2 linked regions of the Tamandua tetradactyla genome follow. The protein of the gene in region 2 purifies or fractionates together with the protein of the main gene of each other region. This does not show direct contact. Links are inferred from orthologs where the notes say so. Each region holds a gene or a part of one and is shown on either strand. Other genes may lie near its edges.

The links.
Region 1: the proteins of LNPEP (region 2) and CANX purify together in Homo sapiens (affinity purification with mass spectrometry; 3 studies listed by BioGRID and IntAct, with this or other methods). This does not show direct contact. The link is inferred for Tamandua tetradactyla from reciprocal best matches to the Homo sapiens genes LNPEP and CANX.

The regions. Positions count from the first base shown.
Region 1 is NC_135346.1:1,594,018-1,602,773, reverse strand, and holds the start of CANX (calnexin), read left to right. Parts: upstream 1-4,793; 5' UTR 4,794-4,904; intron 4,905-8,756. UniProt on the Homo sapiens protein: Calcium-binding protein that interacts with newly synthesized monoglucosylated glycoproteins in the endoplasmic reticulum. It may act in assisting protein assembly and/or in the retention within the ER of unassembled protein subunits.
Region 2 is NC_135347.1:34,099,343-34,108,107, forward strand, and holds the start of LNPEP (leucyl-cystinyl aminopeptidase), read right to left. Parts: upstream 3,526-8,765; 5' UTR 2,314-3,525; coding exon 2,214-2,313; intron 1,735-2,213; exon of another isoform or gene 1,434-1,734; coding exon of another isoform or gene 1,430-1,433; intron 1-1,429. UniProt on the Homo sapiens protein: Release of an N-terminal amino acid, cleaves before cysteine, leucine as well as other amino acids. Degrades peptide hormones such as oxytocin, vasopressin and angiotensin III, and plays a role in maintaining homeostasis during pregnancy.

The sequences.
Region 1 (8,756 bases), on a different chromosome or scaffold from region 2:
TTAGGAGATGCAGATCCCAGCAGATGTCATCACATGCCTTCCGATGAGATGCTGACAAGCCAGAACCCAGAGTTGGGTCCCGGAGGAGCTGAGTGAGGCCCACAGATGCTTAGAGAGGAAGCCACTGGCGTCAGAAGCTGGAAGCAACGGAACCGGGAACAAGGACCAGCAGATGCCACCACGTGTCTTCCCATGTGACAGACATCAGCCTTTCTTGAGTCAGGGTATCTTTTTCTGTATGCCTTAGTTTGGACATTTTTATGGCCTTAGAACTGTAAACTTGTAATTTAATAAATTCCCTTCTTAAAGAGAATTTAAGACAGAAAGAGCAACCTTCAATCCACCTCCAAGTTCTGGATAGCGAAAGGCAAGGCCATACTTCTTTTCCTGTCCTTGGATTCTTTGGTGTCCTTTGATAGTTTCCTTGAGTTAGTCTCAATATATTTCTATTCTTTATAGGCAGAAAGAGGTCCAAATGAAAAAGCTCTTAAAGAAACTGGAAAAAAAGAATTAGAGTAGCTAAGCTAATTATCCTAATGCATAAAGATTTCTTACTGTGCACTGGTTAGAAGCTGTTATGTACCCCTAGAAGGCCAGGTTCTTTTAATCCATTCCTGTGGGTGCAGACCTGTTGTCTTGGTTAGGTTTCAGTTGCCATGTGACCCAGCCCAATTTAAGGTGGGTTTTTATCCTTTACCGAAGTCCTTTATGAGAGGATCAAAGGAAGAAAAAGCCGAGAAAGCTTAGAGAAAAATCTCCGGAGATGCTCAGAGAGAACCTACAGAAGCTCAGAGAGGAAGCCACTGGAAGCAGGAGCTGAAAGCAGTGAAACCTGGGAACAAAGGACCAGCAGATGTAGACCAGTGCTTTGCTATCTGACAGAGGAAGCCTGGCTGCCAGAGGGCTTTCCTCAGAGGTATTGCCCTGTTGAGGCCTTAATTTGGACATTTTCATGGCCTTAGAAATAAAACCCCATTGTTAAAAACTGACCCATTTCTAGTATGTTTAACCTCACTGTAATAAAAGAAACCTCAATTAAAATAATCTCGTATTGTTCTGTGCTTGTCAATTTCACACTGCCACATTAGTGTCGGTAGAAGGAAATGACCGTTCCTTGCTTAACCAGAAAGAAAGGGCCTGATGGAAATGTAGGGTGCCCCTTCTTTCCCCGTGCTCCTCACTCCCCTTCAAGCAAAGGATGGTGAGAATGAGTAAGGATGAGCTAGCTGGCTTTTCTTCTGGGATCTTGTAAGGTGGAGGAGGCAACTTAATATATAAGAGGAGGTTGGAAAGGAAGGATAAATTGATCAATGCCTTCAGTACAGTTTTGCTTATGTATTTTGTTTGTTTTTTACATGGAGAGGCACCGGGAATTGAACCTGGGTCTCCAGCATGGTAGGTGAGAACTCTGCCTGCTGAGCCACCGTGGCCCACCCTGTTTACAGTAGTTTTAAAATAGTCTTTTTTTTTTTTTTTTTAGTAACTAAGCACATATTTTTACATATGTAAAAATCTATTTGATTATTGAAAAAATAATACATGCATCTCATATGTATGTATGTATATATGTCTTCTTTCTTCCAGAGTCTCAAGCCCTCATAGCAGTTTCTTGTAGTTTTCCAGGGAGCCTGTTTGTCCAAGCTTTTATTTTTAAGAATATATCTCTCTTTTCAACACAGAAAGAAGCATATTTTACTAAGCACTTTTTCACGCAACACTGTCTTGGCAGTCATTCCACATCAGTATATATATACCCTCACCTCATGCTTTTCATACTTCATCTAACCAATTCTCTATGATTGGTCAATTCGATTTTTTCTAGGACTTTGGTACCAAAACAATTATGCAGTGTGTATAACTTTATATGTTCATACATTTTATATGTATATACCTACCAGAACAGTATGTGGATATATTCCATACACATATGAGGATATATTCCCAGGGGTGCAATTGCTGGGTTAAAGGATATGCATATTTCAAAATGGATATAAATAATTCATTTCGAAAAACTTGCAGGTTATACAATAAGGTCAGAAAATATTCAGTCCCATTTCCCACACCTCTAACATCTAAGAACTATACAATGCTTATTTATTTTAATGAGGTATTTTAATGCCGCAGGTACCTTTTGAATTGGTAAGAAAAATTTCCTTCTTCCAAGTTCATTGTCAGCCTCCTACACTGAAGAACATCATGCTCTGGTGGAAAAATCCGCATCCCGAGACCTGCTCTGTCTCAGGCCCAAATCCATATTCCCAGGTCCAACCAAGCCTGAATTACTTCTTTCTGTTGGGGTTCTACCACCTCCAGTCCAGGCCCCAAGCCTCTCTGCACTGGCTTTGTTTCTCTCTTTCCTTAGCCTTCTGAGTCCAATGGGCCATTTGTCAGCATTAATATTTAATGCTTTTATTTCTGCATAGGAAGCCATCTCCGAATTTTCCCCTTATCAACTGCAAGCGCTGGTTTCCTTACCTGCCTGTTTCAGACCTCCCTGGAATGATGGTTAAAATAAGGCTTCCCCCAACACTGAAAACATGACACAAACTTAAAATGTGAAATTTCTCCCTCTAAATTCCTTGGCTAAGCCAGGCTCCAGCTCAACTGTGGAGCCACTTTACCATCTCTCACTTTAATGAACATCCTTCTCCAGCTTGAACACCATTGTCCACAAACACACTCTGCTTGGTTTCTTACCTTTGCACACGCTGTTCCCTCATCTAAAGAAACCTTCCTCCCACCCTCTACTTACAGAAAACCCACACAGCCTACGAGGCCCAGCTCCCATGTTTTCACTTTCCCTGGCCATGTGTGCTGGTTTGAAACTGTTGTTCCCCAGAAAAGCCATGTTCTTTATTTTAATCCCATTTTGTGGGGGTAGGCCTATTGTTGGGTGGTTTTTTTTTTTTTTAACTTTTTTTAAAAATTGTAAAGTACAACATATATACAAAGCAAAGCAATCATTTTCAAAGCACACTACAACAAATAGTTACAGAACAGATCCCAAAGTGTCATGGGCGACCATTCCACCATCTTAGATTGTTCCTTGTAGCTGCTCCAAAACACTGGAGGTTCGAAGGAATATTAATATAGTGATTCAGCTGCCATACTCATTAAATCCCATTTTCTTTGTTATACCTTCTCCTTTAATCCTCCTCTTAATCTATAGGGATTTTTTGGCAACGCCTGTTCTTTTTTCATGTTGAGAACGGATGTGGACAGCAAAGGATATGGGCACATAAATAAACTGATAATCTTGGAGAGGCTGCTCCCTTTGGGTTTCAGGATTTATCTGACCTAGGAATTCTGGTTTTTAAACTTTTTGGTTAAAGTGTTTCCAATCGTGGGTGGTGCATTTTGATTAGGTGGTTTCCATGGAGATTTCTCTACCCATTCAAGTGGGTCTTACTCCACTTACTAGAGTCTTTAAGAGAGAAGAATTTGAGAAAAAGTTTAGAGCTGGTAAAGACTTTTGGAAATTCAGAAAGAAAACGTCTCCAAGTGAGGTGTTTGAAACCAGGAGCCAAAGGACCACAGATGCCAGCCACATGCCTTCCCAGCGAACAGAGATACATTCCATGCCATCATCCTTTCTTGAGTCAAGGGGCCTTTTCCTCAATGCCTCAGTTTGCACATTTTTATGGTCTTAGAACTGTAAACTTGCAACTTAATAAATCCCCCTAATAAAAGCCAACCCATTTCTGTTATATTGCTCTGCAGCAGCATTAGCAAACTAAAACATCATCCTACATGCAAGCAGTTCTTCCCTAATCAGAACCCCACCAACTTCACTTGCGTACCCCCATCTTTTAGCACTTAACCTTTGCTGCAGCAGCGACTTGGCTCACTCTACCTCACTTTGAAGCCCTTTGTTTGAAATATTATGTTGCCTTTAATTCCTACTTTCCCAGTTAAGCAGGAAATAAAAAACAAAACTCCCTTATGCACATTTGGAGCCTGAGAGGTGGCAAACGAAACTAAGGCAAACGCCAGACCCTGAACTCCTCAAATGCCCCTCCGGGAGATCCACCTGGCTTCTATGACACACCCACTGGCTCTAGCTATTCTCCACCGAGGATTCGGCCTTTGGGGAGCAGAGCGGACGGGAGACGGAGCCCTGGGCCAGTTTTCAAGCAACCCTGGGTCGCTCTCACTTCCCGAGCTTCTCGGCATAGTAGAAACTGCAGATGTGCTGCAGGCGGGTGACGCGAGCTATGCGCGTCTCCACGTCTCTGCCGCGCCGGCCTTCCGCGGGCCTGTCGTCCGCGTGTCCGCGCGGCAGGTCTGTACCGGCCTCCACTGCAAGCGGGCCACGAGGCGGCCGCGGCGCGGAGTGATGACGCACAGGAACGCGCCGGGGACTCGAGCCCAGGCCCGCGGGCGGCCCTCGGTGCCGGGCGCCCAGTCCCCGCGCCGGCCCACAGCCCGGGAAGCCTTCCCCACCAGCCCCGAGGATCAGGACCCAGGGCGTGCGCGAACCCAACGCACCTAAAGCGCGCGGCTCATCGGGGCCGGCCCCGCCCCAGGACGCGCGCGCCCGTCGTCCCCGGCCCCGCCCCTCCTCGCTCGCCCAGCCGGTAGCCACTTCCTTCCTCGCATCAAGCCAATCGGCGCGCTCCACGAAGAATAGCCCTAGGAGGCGTCTGGGAAGGTAGCTCGAGCGATGGCCACGCTGACCAACCACAGCCCGGAGCTCGCGCGCGAGGGCGGGACTTGGCTCCCGCCGCCACCACTCCCGAGCGAGGGGCCGTCGCGGGGCGGGACGCCCGCGCCGAGGCTTCTGGGAGCTGCGGCACGTGACGGCCGGGCCGCCTCCGCCGCCGTCTCCACTGCAGCGCGGGGCCGGGCGTGTGTGCAGGCGCGAGTAGGCGCGGGTGCCGCCGGCGGTCCCCGGGAGGCTCGAGGTGAGGCGGGGGCTTGCGAGGGCCCCAGAGGCCGGGGGTCGGGGCACTGGGCCGGATCTGCCGGCCCCAGGCCCCGGTGGGCGCGGCGGCCATGAGGGGCGAGCTCGGGACCTGGGCCTCCTCAGCGGGGGAACCGCGCCCAGGCCGCGCCGCCGGGGCCGGGAGGCGTGGCAGGTGCACCGACCCTCGCCGGCCTCGGGAAGGCCCACCTGCTGCCCCGGCCTTGCGCCTGGGCCTTTCCTGGGCCTCTTCTTGGTAGTGGCTGCGGGGTGGGTTGGAGCCGTCGGGGAAAGATCCCGAGTGGAATCGCGCCGTGTCGGCACTCTCGGTAGGGGGAAGGAGAATACCGGCCGAGGGAGAGGATGCAGGATCAGATTGAGGAATGTTTGGAAAATAAGATTTCGGAGCGAAGCCCGGATCCTGGCACCCCGAGGGGTCGGAGAATGTACTAGAACCTAGCTAGGGGGCTGAGAAACTTTAGTCTTAGCGTTGCAGTACCTCCGGGGGTGTGGGGAGTGACCCCGTCGGAAATTCCCAGTGAAAGGGAAAGCTCACGGAGTTGCGACTCGCCCTGCGGTGGAGGAAACCGACAGGCCCAAGGTCATGCGATTGGTTTAACGGGCGGTTGAGGGTATGATCCAGGGCTAGGTCGTTTCGGTGTAGTGGCGAAGGGTAAGGCCCTGGTTCAAATCCCGCCCGGGCGGTTCGCTAGCTCTGTGAGCTTCGGCAATTTCCATAACCTTTGTGCTCCAGTTCTTGGCAAATAGTGGATATAATAATATCTGGCGGCGTTGAGGAATACATTAGGATGTTTAGAAAATAGGACAGGGAAGCCTGATTCATATAGCGAATGCTCGATAAATAATGATTGCGATAAATGATTGAAATCTTGATGTTGTTTCGCTGTATTGACAGTCCTGTTTTTGAGTTGGACAAGTCTTGTTTTGCAGGACTTGAAGACACCTTGATGGTCTGGGGGGAAGAAACTGGAGCGTGTGAATTAACTTGCTGGCATGACACCAGTGAATGCTGGTTGAGGGAAGTTACACTGAGCTGAACATTAAATGCTTGGGAGGACAGAGGTGAACGACAGTGACGTCTCTTCTAATTTTAAGAAATGGAAGTTTTTGCTTAGCTTTTTAACAAGTAGATTTTGTTTTAAGGGGAAGCAGTGTAGCAATCTTTAAAATGATGCTATATCTTCCTGTAACAATGTCGGAGGGTCCTGAGTAGAATCGACTGCCCCCTTGCACGTTTACTATAATTATCCGTAGAGCACAGGTGAAGAACTGTGTGGGAATTCTCCGTTCCACCAGCCAGGGGCATGAGAAAAGGTCCAGGTAACTGGATTGTGTGACTGCTGGAGAAAAGTATTGGCATGAATGTTGCACAGCAAATGAGTCTCCAGACCTATCTGAAAATGGGTGTCAGCATCCCATCCACCCCATTCCCCCAACCCCCCTTACTATCTTAACTAGGCAGATCAGCTGTCATGTTATCTTTCACAGACCACGGAGTAAACATTGTGGCAGAAGTCATTGCTGCAGTTTTGGCAATCACATTGCTGCATCCTTTCAGTAGAGTTCACTTTGTCCTGCAAGATATCTTACAAGAAAGGAATGACAGTTGGTAATTCATAAGTGTAGGCTCAAGCTGAGCACAGTAATTAGCTCATGTGCTTCCCTGGTTTACACATCTTTAAAATGGGAATGAGATGTCTCTTCAGATGCCTTACTTTTAGGAGGCTGTTTACCTTTGTCCATCTTAGCACGAAGCTTCTTTGAAAAGTGTAGAAAATTGGGCAATTAGGAAAATTGGCAGCTCTTAATAATTCCTGGAAGATAATAAAAGTGCCAAAGCATAGGTCAGTCTATATGGTTTACTGTAGAACTTCATCATAAAAATGCTAGTTCAATGCCTTGTTACTGCAACCGGTGTACAGTTTTAAATTAATTTGGAGAGGAGTGCAGCGGTAGTTCAGTGGTAGAATTCTCACCTGCCATGCCGGAGACCCAGGTTTGGTTCCCAGTGCATGCACTTCCCAAAAGAAAAAACAAAAATTCAACAAATGGTGCAATAATGGGATACTCATATGGAAAAATAATGAAATGTGACCCTACTATACAGCATACAAAAAAAAAAAAAAGAATTTGGAGGATCTTCAGTATGTTTCAAGTATTCACTTCTTAAACTTACTTAGTTGAGAGGAAGAAATAAAATGTTATGGAAAAGTCCATTCTAGTGTTCTGTCAGTGAAAAAATCCATAAAGGTCAACAAGGCAGTTTGGAAGATCTACTTTAAAATGGGTGAGCGTTTACAATAAAGACCACTTTGTATTTTATCTACCTTTTAATTTCCTTTTATTATTTTGTTTTTGACTAGATATGCATGATGGTAAAACCGGAAGGTACCATATGAAGCAGTAAGTTGGTTCATCTGTGACTGCTATTCTTTTAAATGGTTCCTTTCCAACCTAAGACTTAGAGTTTCTTATACTGTCTTAAAACTCAGAGTTTTGAAACCTTTAAAATATGACAAATAAAAGGAGTTATTAGACAATATCTAGTAAGAGTAAAAAAATCCCAGCTGTTGCTGAATATATACTGTAAGTAAGCTAGGCATGTCGCATGCATGGTGTCTATGCAGCAGTCTTAAGAGGTAGATACTGATATTCTCATTTTCTGGATGAAACAGCTCACGCCGAGGGGTTAGTAATTCACCTAAGCTTGTAAGTTGTCAGGTGCTTGAGCAGGACTTGGGAGTCCCTGCTCATAAACACTCATTGCTATTTGTTCTTGGATAGGTTATGTAACTTTAGACTTAGTTTCCTCATGTGTGGAATGGGCATGATAGTACTGACCTAGAATTGTGATGATTAAAGTAGAACACACAGGTGTCTAAAAACTACAAGCCTTGACGTTTTAAAAGGGTATAAAAATAGAAGAATGGATCTGTTACGTCAGGGAAAGCCTGCCTTATTTTTTAGTATGTACTGCCTTTTTTTATTTAAACAACCAGGAGCATTAGACTGGATAGTTTCTTCTGTTTCTCTCTCTAGTCTCATGGGTTCAAGGAGTTAGGATTTAAAATGTCACAGGAAGCAACTACTCAGTTTCCTAACTTCTTTTAAGAAACTAAGTCCCACAAATAAGGTTCAGGATCAGATGGCTTCACTTGTGATTTCTGCCAAGTACAGAAAAATTAGCACCAGTCCTTTACACACTCGTCCAAAAAATAGGAGAGGGTCTACTTCCCAACCTATTCATTGTATTAGTCCAAGATAACCCTACACCAAAACCAGACAAAGATGTCACAAGAAAAAGAAAGAAAATACAGACCAGCCAATGCAAAAACCAGAAGCAAAATGCCAGCAAACTGAATCCAGCAACATATAAAAAGCATTATACACCATGATCAAGTGGGGTTTATAGCAGAATTCAAGGTTGGTTCAACATGTGAAAATCAATGTAATATACCACAGTAGTAAAGGACAAAGATGACGTGATCATCTCAATAGATGGAGAACATTATTTGGCAAAATTCAGTGCTTTCATGACAAAAATCCTCAACAAACAAGAAATAAAAGAATTTCCTCAACCTGATTAAAATACAAAGAAATAACTCCTTGGGGAAAAATTAGACTTAATTTGAGCAAAGTATAAAAATTTAAATTTAATAAACCTGAAAATAATTTGAGCCTCCATTTAAAAAAAAAAATCTTCTGAATGGACCCTTATTGAGGTTAAAGTTTCTGCCTTTGAGATCTGACATTTACTTCTTTAATTGCCCATTTGTCTAGATTTTCAGATTTGCCGAAGGTCGAAGCAGTGTCTGTCTCCTGTTAAAAATAG
Region 2 (8,765 bases):
ACATAAGCTAATTAATTTCAAACTTGATAAATCCTGCAATCAGAAATTCTGTGAATAATGAAACACTCTGCACAGAACATACGGACCTACAGGAGAAGTATATATGCATATCATTTGCAGTCAATTAAGTACAAAGATAAACATACTTTCCACTAAACCATGTGATGTTTGAAGACACTAGAAAATTTTACATCTATTCCTTCAAAGGGTCCGAAATAAATACCCAGCCCATCTTCAATGTGAAAATTACCTCAATTTGCTAGCATCTAATTTCTCTTTTTTTTTTAACATGGGCAGGCAGCAGGAAGCGAACCTGGGTCCTCTGGCATGGCAGGCGAACACTCTGCCTGCTGAGCCACTGTGGCCCGCATCTAATTTCTTTTTAACTTAAGATGTGGTTTCTGTTCTCCTTGTTAAAGAACACAAGAAAAGAGTACAAGGGAGGAATAACACATTAACTAAAATGATGTACTGCAAAACTGTCTTCAGTACAGACTCTGAATATATGAAACATAGGCAAGGATTAGAAATCCAATTTCCTACATAGAAGCTGAAGCATTGCTTCCTTTTCTTACCACCCCCCCACCCTGGGATTTTTCCATTGCCCTCCCATATGTGACAATTTTGCAAATATTCACATCTAGAACAGCGTATTCTATGAAAAGAAAACAGGCCCAAATTTTAAGACTTGAGAATGTACTTCAATTCTGTAGAGGCAGGTTCATCAAACGAGCAACTAATAATCTTGAGCAAATGGGTGATGCAGCCATGCTACAGAGATTTTTTCTTTTTTTATTTAGGTGAAACTGTACATTTAAAATCCTACCAACATGGAAGCTACAAGCATTCTATCTAGAACAAACAAGAAATCTATGGAAGAATAAGCACTGGAATATTCAAGCGCAATATTATAATATATATTATAATACTAAAGTGCTAGATGGTCTCTAAGGCTCCAATCAGCTCAAATCTTCCTTGATTCTCTGGATAACTTTACCAGACTACTCTTAGAGCCTTAGTAATTACAAATAGAATTGAAATGAGAAAGAAAATTCAGAATTAAAGTTGTCATTATTAAACCTAATTAATCAGCTCAGACAGAAAGATGGCAGCAGAATAAAGCATTCTGAATTAGGGACAGAGTAGTTATAACGACCCCATGAACGAAGCACAGCATACAACAAAGTCTGGCTGAGGTTTGGGATAGAGTGGACAATGTCTGTCTTTTGACTGGTAACTGACAATTCAAACAGGGATGAGACCGGCCTCGATACTGCTATAGCCTAACTACCTGAAAGTAATGAACCACACATCAACTGGGAAGTGAATCTACTTAATTTTAGCGTGAATTCTCCCTTGACAGTTTTCCTACTTTGTATCCTTAAAAGGCATCCTATACTCAACGCCGCACAATGGTAAGACATCTCACCCATATATTGTGACTCTAGCACTCCTGGTGCAAACAAAAGCCATCGTTTTAATTAGAGATGGGACTCCATTCAGTAAAGCGCCGTGGCAGTTTGCAGGGCATCGTGCAGGCTCCTGCTTTGACTCTCGCCTCAACCCAAATTGTGATATCATCGTGACGGACTCTTGATATTTAACGAGTCTTTGACTGAAAAGCTGATTATCAGGAAGGCAGGAAGCCGAACGCTCTGCAGAGCGCCTCAGCAACAGACAGGAAAGTGGCAATGCGGATAGGCATCTCTCTTCGGCAGAGGGTGAGCAAGGCTTCCCGCAAGTTTCCCCTCCTTCCACTCATTGGTCTGCCAAGGCCCCCACCCCCCCACCGCCCTATTAGGAAAAGTCACGCCGGCAACTCTCTGAAGGACAAGGGGACAGAGCCCGGCGTGCCACAGAAGTTGGGTTTGGCAGGCGCCACGGTTTAACCCTACCATCCCGAAAGCAGGGGCAGACAACTTTCCCGCTGTCCCCTCCTCTGCGCACAACAGCCCAAACTTTGTTGTGCGTCCGTCCGCCCCGCCGCACAGCGGAGCTCTGGGTCCCGGCCACCCCCAGCCACCTCCCACCCGGGGCAGCCCCCCGGCCCCGCGCTGGCCGCTGCCGCCCCCAGCTTCCTACCACCTCCCCTAAACCCAGGCAAGACACCCGCGATGGGGGCAACTGAAACCCGTCCCCGCGTGTCACGGCTGCCGGCAACCCAGAGAGCTTGTGAGAGCCTGACCCCGGCGCCTCGGGCCTCCCACACTCACCATTGGTAAAAGGTTCCATTTTACCCCGCCGCGGCTCCTTGCAGCCGGAGCGCCTAAGACTCCTACTCCGCCAGCTGAAGCGGCCCTGCCGACTGAGCATGCCCAGCGCGGCCGCCGAGGGCTGCCAGGGAGGTGCCGCGAGGGGTGGCGCCGCTCCGCTGCTTCGAGGCTCCGGGTTTTTGCGGTGGCTGCAGGAGGAGGGAGGGAGGCTTGAGGGCAAAGCGAGGCTCAGGCTCAGCCCTCGGGGGACCGGGGGAAAGAAGGCGGAAGTAGAAAGTTAGGCCTAGGGGCCACAAGCCCCGCCCCTCGCCCGAAGAGGCCGCGGCTCTGTTGCTCTCCAAGGCCGAGAACTGCAGCCTGTGGTTCACCAAATGTCAGTGGGCTCCCTGGGCCCGGACCCCGTTCTAGGCTGCGGGAACACCATACTGCGCCTGGAAAAGTCCCTGCTCCGTGGAACGTACATTCCAGAGCAGACAAAAAACAAACACGGAAGACACATGGAGTAAATGTACCGCAAAACATTAAATCGGGGTGGTGGGATGCAGAGTGAGTGGGTGGCTAATTCGAATGGCGTCGGGAGGACAGGACTTGCTGAGCCGGTGCCTCTGAACCAGAGGTTTGAAGACAGAGTAGGAGCCTGCGGGCGAAGGTCGCACTCCGGACCGCGAAGCATCGGTTTCCCTGTGAAGCTGGTCTCCGAGGAGCTCAGTTCGCCAAGGCCCGAGGGAAAGGGCGCCGCAGCTCTCCTCAGCACAGTGGCCCCAAGCGGTCGGTCGCCTGGAGTCCAACGGGAGGGAAGGGAGCCCCGAAGGGCCCAGTGGGCCTAGAGTCGGGTCCTAGGGTTAGCGGCTTCGGGTGCGGCCTCTCGATGCGGGCGGATCACAAAACCCGGCGCCGGATCTCCAGGCCCCGGGCCGCGTGCGCCACAGGATGTGGGCAGAAGGACGGCGGGACCCGAGCCTCGAATCAACACCTGCGGCTCTTGGGTGAGCTGAGGTTGAGGCCGCGCCTTGCTAGGCCCAAGGAGCCGAAACTCCCCTAGTCGCCTCCCCACCCCTCACCCCCACCTCCAGCCCTAGCGCCATGGTGTCCAGCCCCGAGCCACCATTGTTTCCGATGTCGATTCCGGGCACTCCTGGCGAGACTCGGGAACATCTTGAGGCCCCGTTGACCCCTGGGAGGCCCGTGGGGGGCCCCGCTTCTTCCGCCTCCCTTCCTCGCTGTGCGCAGGGCCGCCGTCGCCTCCTCTCCTTGCCCCCTCCCGCAGCCCTGGCCCCTGCAGCGACTTGGCTCGGGCTGCCCCTCGCTGCGCCTGCCAACTGTCACATGCTCCTCCGAGGCTGTCAACAGGGGAGCGTCGGGTGCAAACCAGCCCGCGGCGAGCGCAAACAGCCTGAGAAAACAGAGGTGGCCGGGGTGTCGTTCAATTCGTACAGGAATTAGAAGTTAAATTTTAAAGAAGTAAAATCAAAGTGCGTGGCCATTTGGGATACTGTATTTTAAAATACGAAATGAATATCACCCATCTCCCAATCCCTCTTCAAAAACCTCCAGTGGGCATCAGTTACGCTTAGAATAAGATCGTAACCCCTCATATGCGTCAGGGACCTCGTCTTCTACCCTTGCAGTGCTTTGGCCACAGATGCCTTCATGCCGTTTCCGAAATCTCAAAAAGTTTTATCCAGTAACGTTAGTCATTGCTTTTACCTGTTTCTGTGCAGGAACTGTTCCTTCTGCCTGGTACTTTGCCTGCTGATTCCTTCTTGTCATTTAGGTCTCAACTCAAATGTCACCTCTGTAGAGAGCCTTTCCTGACCACACAATCTAAAATAGCCACAGACAAAATTTGTCTATGTATAGATTTGTCCTGTTTTGTTTTCTTCGCAACTGTCTTCTTCATCACTATCTAAAACAATGCTTTTTGTTTACCGTTTAATTATTGTCTATTTTCCCCTGAAGAATACAAGCTCCAGGAAGGCAGGGTTATTTTACCTTTTCTACAGCTGTTTCTGGTGCCTGGATAAATATGTAATAAACAATTTTTGGATTAATAAGTGAATGAATGCAATGGTATTTAAAGTTCTGGTTCGCTCTTACTGACCAAAACCCTTCCGGAGAATGCGTATTTCTGATCAGTACAGAGAAGTTTTCTGTATGAAAACTCAAGGCTGCTTTCTTGCCACTGCCCCACAGCCTTAGGCTGGCCTGGTGTAGGGAACTTCAGAGCCAAAAATAGGATAGGTTCCTAAGTATTCCCATATTATATGGAAAATTCAGAAAAGGGTTTTATTAAAATGATCTCATAACAAAACACTGTATTGTTTAGATAAGAAACTCTTCCTTAAATTTTAGGTCATGTTCCTTTGAGGTTATTTTTGCAGTCAAAGCACTTAGTATCAGAGATATTTAAAACTCAACAGCTCCTTGAATTACCTCACCTGTAAAGCTATGGTCTATCATGCTTTTATGTGTGAAACACGTTATCTGGTATTTTGTCTGAAGTGTCTTAATTCTGCAGAGACTTGTGGTAAAAATGTTTCACCATCGCACTAGCAAATATAAGTGAATCAAAATGTCTTTCCTAAACAGGCAAGTAATTTCGTTATCCTCTCTTTGCCAATCTCGTCTGCCACACTCCTTGCCCCCAGCCCCACACCCACCCCATCACCACCACAAAGATATTAAGGGGGCATTTAAAGACTTGCAATTCTGTATTGGAGGTTAATTTTTTTTTTAAGTAGCAAAACCAAAATCTGTTCAGAATCCTATCTCCCTCAAAAGAACAATAATAAATTTGTTTTATTCAGTGTTTTCTTGGATGCCATTTTATACTTGACTTAATAAAACTTGTGGCAACATAATTTCAGAAATTTAATATTGAAACCCATTTATGTTTCTTTCTTTGACCTCCTCTCATCCTCCCACACAGAACTTCCTCTTTAAGTTTCTAACACTTTCAGTTACCATGGAAGTTACTATTCATTATCAGAAGAGGTCTGATAATGAATATACCCATGTACTATTTTCAGAATCATTAAACATTTAAAAAACAGAAATTTAGAGGGCTAATAGTAATTGAATGAAAGAAAAAAAATGAGTGCTGTAAATAACCAACAGTGTTATAAAGAACAATAAGCATGCTGGTTAATGAATGTAGGGACATTTTTATCAAAATAAAGTAATTGGTCTGCTCTAGGTCAGATAATCCAAACGTCACATCTGACAGAGAAGGGAATTGAATTCTAGAAAGGTTAGATGATTTACCCTTAATCCAGTCAGGTTGTCTGTGTTCTAAACCAGTGCTCCAGAGTTTGCCATTGCCTCCCTATTCCTGTGAAGAAATTAGGGTCAATGAAAACAATCCACAAAATCAAAGAGGTAAAGAGGAAAACAGCTGACCTACAGGCTACAAGAAGGATATTCCATATCAACTTTGAGTTTAGCATTATTAAATATTTTTTCTAATTTTTCTGAAATAAGCAATATGTCAATTCAGTGCCTATATTTGAAAATGATAGTGTTTGTTCAGCACTCTTTAATAAATAGAGGAAGCGTCTTGCTGCCAGAACCAGCATGACCACAGTGAAGTTTCCAGCCACCCCCAGGCCTTACCCAGCCACCCCCAAAACCAAAGGAATCAATCAATATCTCATTACCCCTGCCACCCATTCACAGATACATACTCAGAATTTATAATTGATGTTGGAAGTTAAACCAAATTAAGAATTGTTTACAGCACTAAGGAAGGGAGAATAATTTTCCAAAAGAATTCTTGTACACTTAGCCATAAGAGAAAGATCCAGCTGAGTAGAGAGAAAAGTCATTACATAGGAAGTGTCATGGTCAGGTTCATGTGTCAACTTGGCCAAGTGGTGGTACCTGTTTGTCTGGTTGGGCAAGCGCTGGCCTGTCTATTGCAATGAGGACATTTCATAGAATTAAATCATGATCACATTAGCTGCACCCACAGCTGATTCCATTTGTAATCAGCCAAGGGGCGTGTCTTCTGCAATGAGTGATGCTTAATCTAATCACTGGAAGCCTTTTAAAGAGGATTCAGAAGAGACAGGCTCTTTTTCCTGCTTGGCTGGCAAGCCTCTCCTGTGGAGTTCATCCAGACCCTCCATCAGAATCGTCGGCTTCAAAGCCTGCCCTGCGGATTTTTGACTCTGCATTCCCGCGGTTATGTGAGACAGTTTTATAAATTTTATATTTGCAAGTGTTTCCTGTTGATTCTGTTTCTCTAGAGAACCCTAACTAATACAGGAAGGAACATTTATGTACTCCTTCAGATGTTTTGGAGTACAAAAACCAAAACCCCATATCAAACTAGTTTACATAATAAGGAAAATTTTTTTTCTCTCTCTTTTTTTTTAACTGTTTTATTAGCCTTGCCTAAACAGGGCCTCAAAAAATTGGTTTAAGACTCAGAGGTGCTTCTCTCCACGGAAATCTTTAGTAAAAAGCGAAAGATTTATACGATCTGAAGAGAAACCAGAGTATACATAATAAGGAAATTTATTATCTCCCATAACGTGCAGAGAAAAGACAATCTCCAGTTATAGTTCTACAATCTCAAGAACTCATCTTTTCACTCTCTCCACCCTGTGGCCTCAGTGTGAGTACTTTTCCAAGACACTGACTGCCATGCGGTCAAGAGGCGGCCGGGGAAGAAGAAGCAACTTTCTCTTTAGTGTCTCTTAAGAAGCGTAAAGAAACTTTCTCAAAAATACTCTTATTTGCCAAAGCTGTGTTTCATACATTTCTAAACCCACCACTGGAAATGAAAATGTGGATACTTCCAGACATGGTGGCTTGGAGTTACGTACCCAAGAAAAACATATTCTTAAACTTAATCCATTCTTATAAGTGCCAACCCATTGTAGATAGGACCTTTTGATGAGGTTACTTAAGTTGAGGTGGCCCAACTGGATCAGGATGAGTCTTAATCCTAATAGGTCCTTATAGTGAAGGCCACAAAGAGAGAAGCCATGGGGAGCAGCCAGAACCTGGAAGTCAACAGAACCCAGAAGAGAAAGACTCTCTACGCGCTTTGCAATGTGGCAGAAAAGCTAAGGCTGAGGGATGAATGGAAGCAGCCTCAGAATGCCACAGTCTTTGGGGAGAAACAAATGCCTTGCTTGATTTTGGGCTTCGTGTAGCTTCAAAACCAAGAGCCATAAATTCCCATTGTTTAAGCCAGCCCATTGTACGGTATTTGTTTTAGCAGCCCGGAAACTAGAAACACTGTGATTGGCTTCTCAGATAAAGCACAGTTCAGGAGTGCTGAATTTAGAATCACCTCCCTCATTTCATATGGGAGAAGAAGAGGTACTAGCACAGAATGGGAGGAAATATTTGCAAATCATATATCTCATGAGGTATTTGTAGCTAAGTATTAAAAAGAACTATTATATCTCATAATAAAAAGACAAAGCCAGTTTAAAAATGAGCAAAGGATTTCAGTAGACATTTCTCTAAAGAAGATATACAAATGGACAATAAGCACATGAAAAGGTATTCAACATCATTACTCATCCAGAAAATGCAAATCAAAATCACGAGATACCACTTTGATGCACTAGGATGAATATTTCAAAAAGACAAATAATGTGATGGCAAAGAAACAGAATTTGGGGTCCTCACACACCACTTGTGGGAATGTAAAATGGTGCAGCTGCTTTGGAGAACAGTCTGGCAGTTCTTCAAAAGGTAAAACATATAACCCAGCAATTCCACTCTAGGTGTACACCCCAAAGAATTGAAAACATATATCCACAAAAAAACTTGTACATTAATGTTTATAGCAGTATTATTCATAATAACTCAAAATGGGAAATGACCCAAATGCCCATCAACTTATGAATATATAAAGAAAATGTGATATAGCCATGCAATGGAATATTACTCCGCTATAAAAAAGATGGAGTATTGAGACATGCTACAACGTGGATGAACCTTGAAAATGTTATACTTAATGGAAGAAGCCAGTCACAAAAGACCACATATTGTATGAATCCATTTACATGAAATGTCCAGACTGGACAAATCTACAGAGACAGAAAGTAGATGTGACTGGGGAATGACTGCTAATGGGTATGGAGTTTCTTGTAGGGATGATGAATATATTCTAAAATTGATTGTGGTGATAGTTGCGCAACTCTGTGAATATACTGAAAAACAGTGAATTGTAAGCTTTAAATTAGTGAATTGTATGGTATGTGAGTTATATCTCAATAAAGCTCTTATATGTAGATAAATAGAATTTGAAGTTATGGATTTAGAATCACCATATATTGTCATGCTTTAAATTAAACAGTAAAGCAAACTATATACTATGAGAATGTTCTTTCACCATTGTTTAAGCAAGATCCCTTTACACCCTAAGCTGGCTGCTAAAAAGTTGCTGATTCATTCAATTAAACACTGACCCATTTAGAAATAGAGAAATGCTGTGGAAAATCCTACAGGTATAGAAATATCTTTTCCATCTTTTCCAATGGGTGCCCTAAACTTACTAGAAATGCTAAAAAAAAGAAATCTTCACTCTGG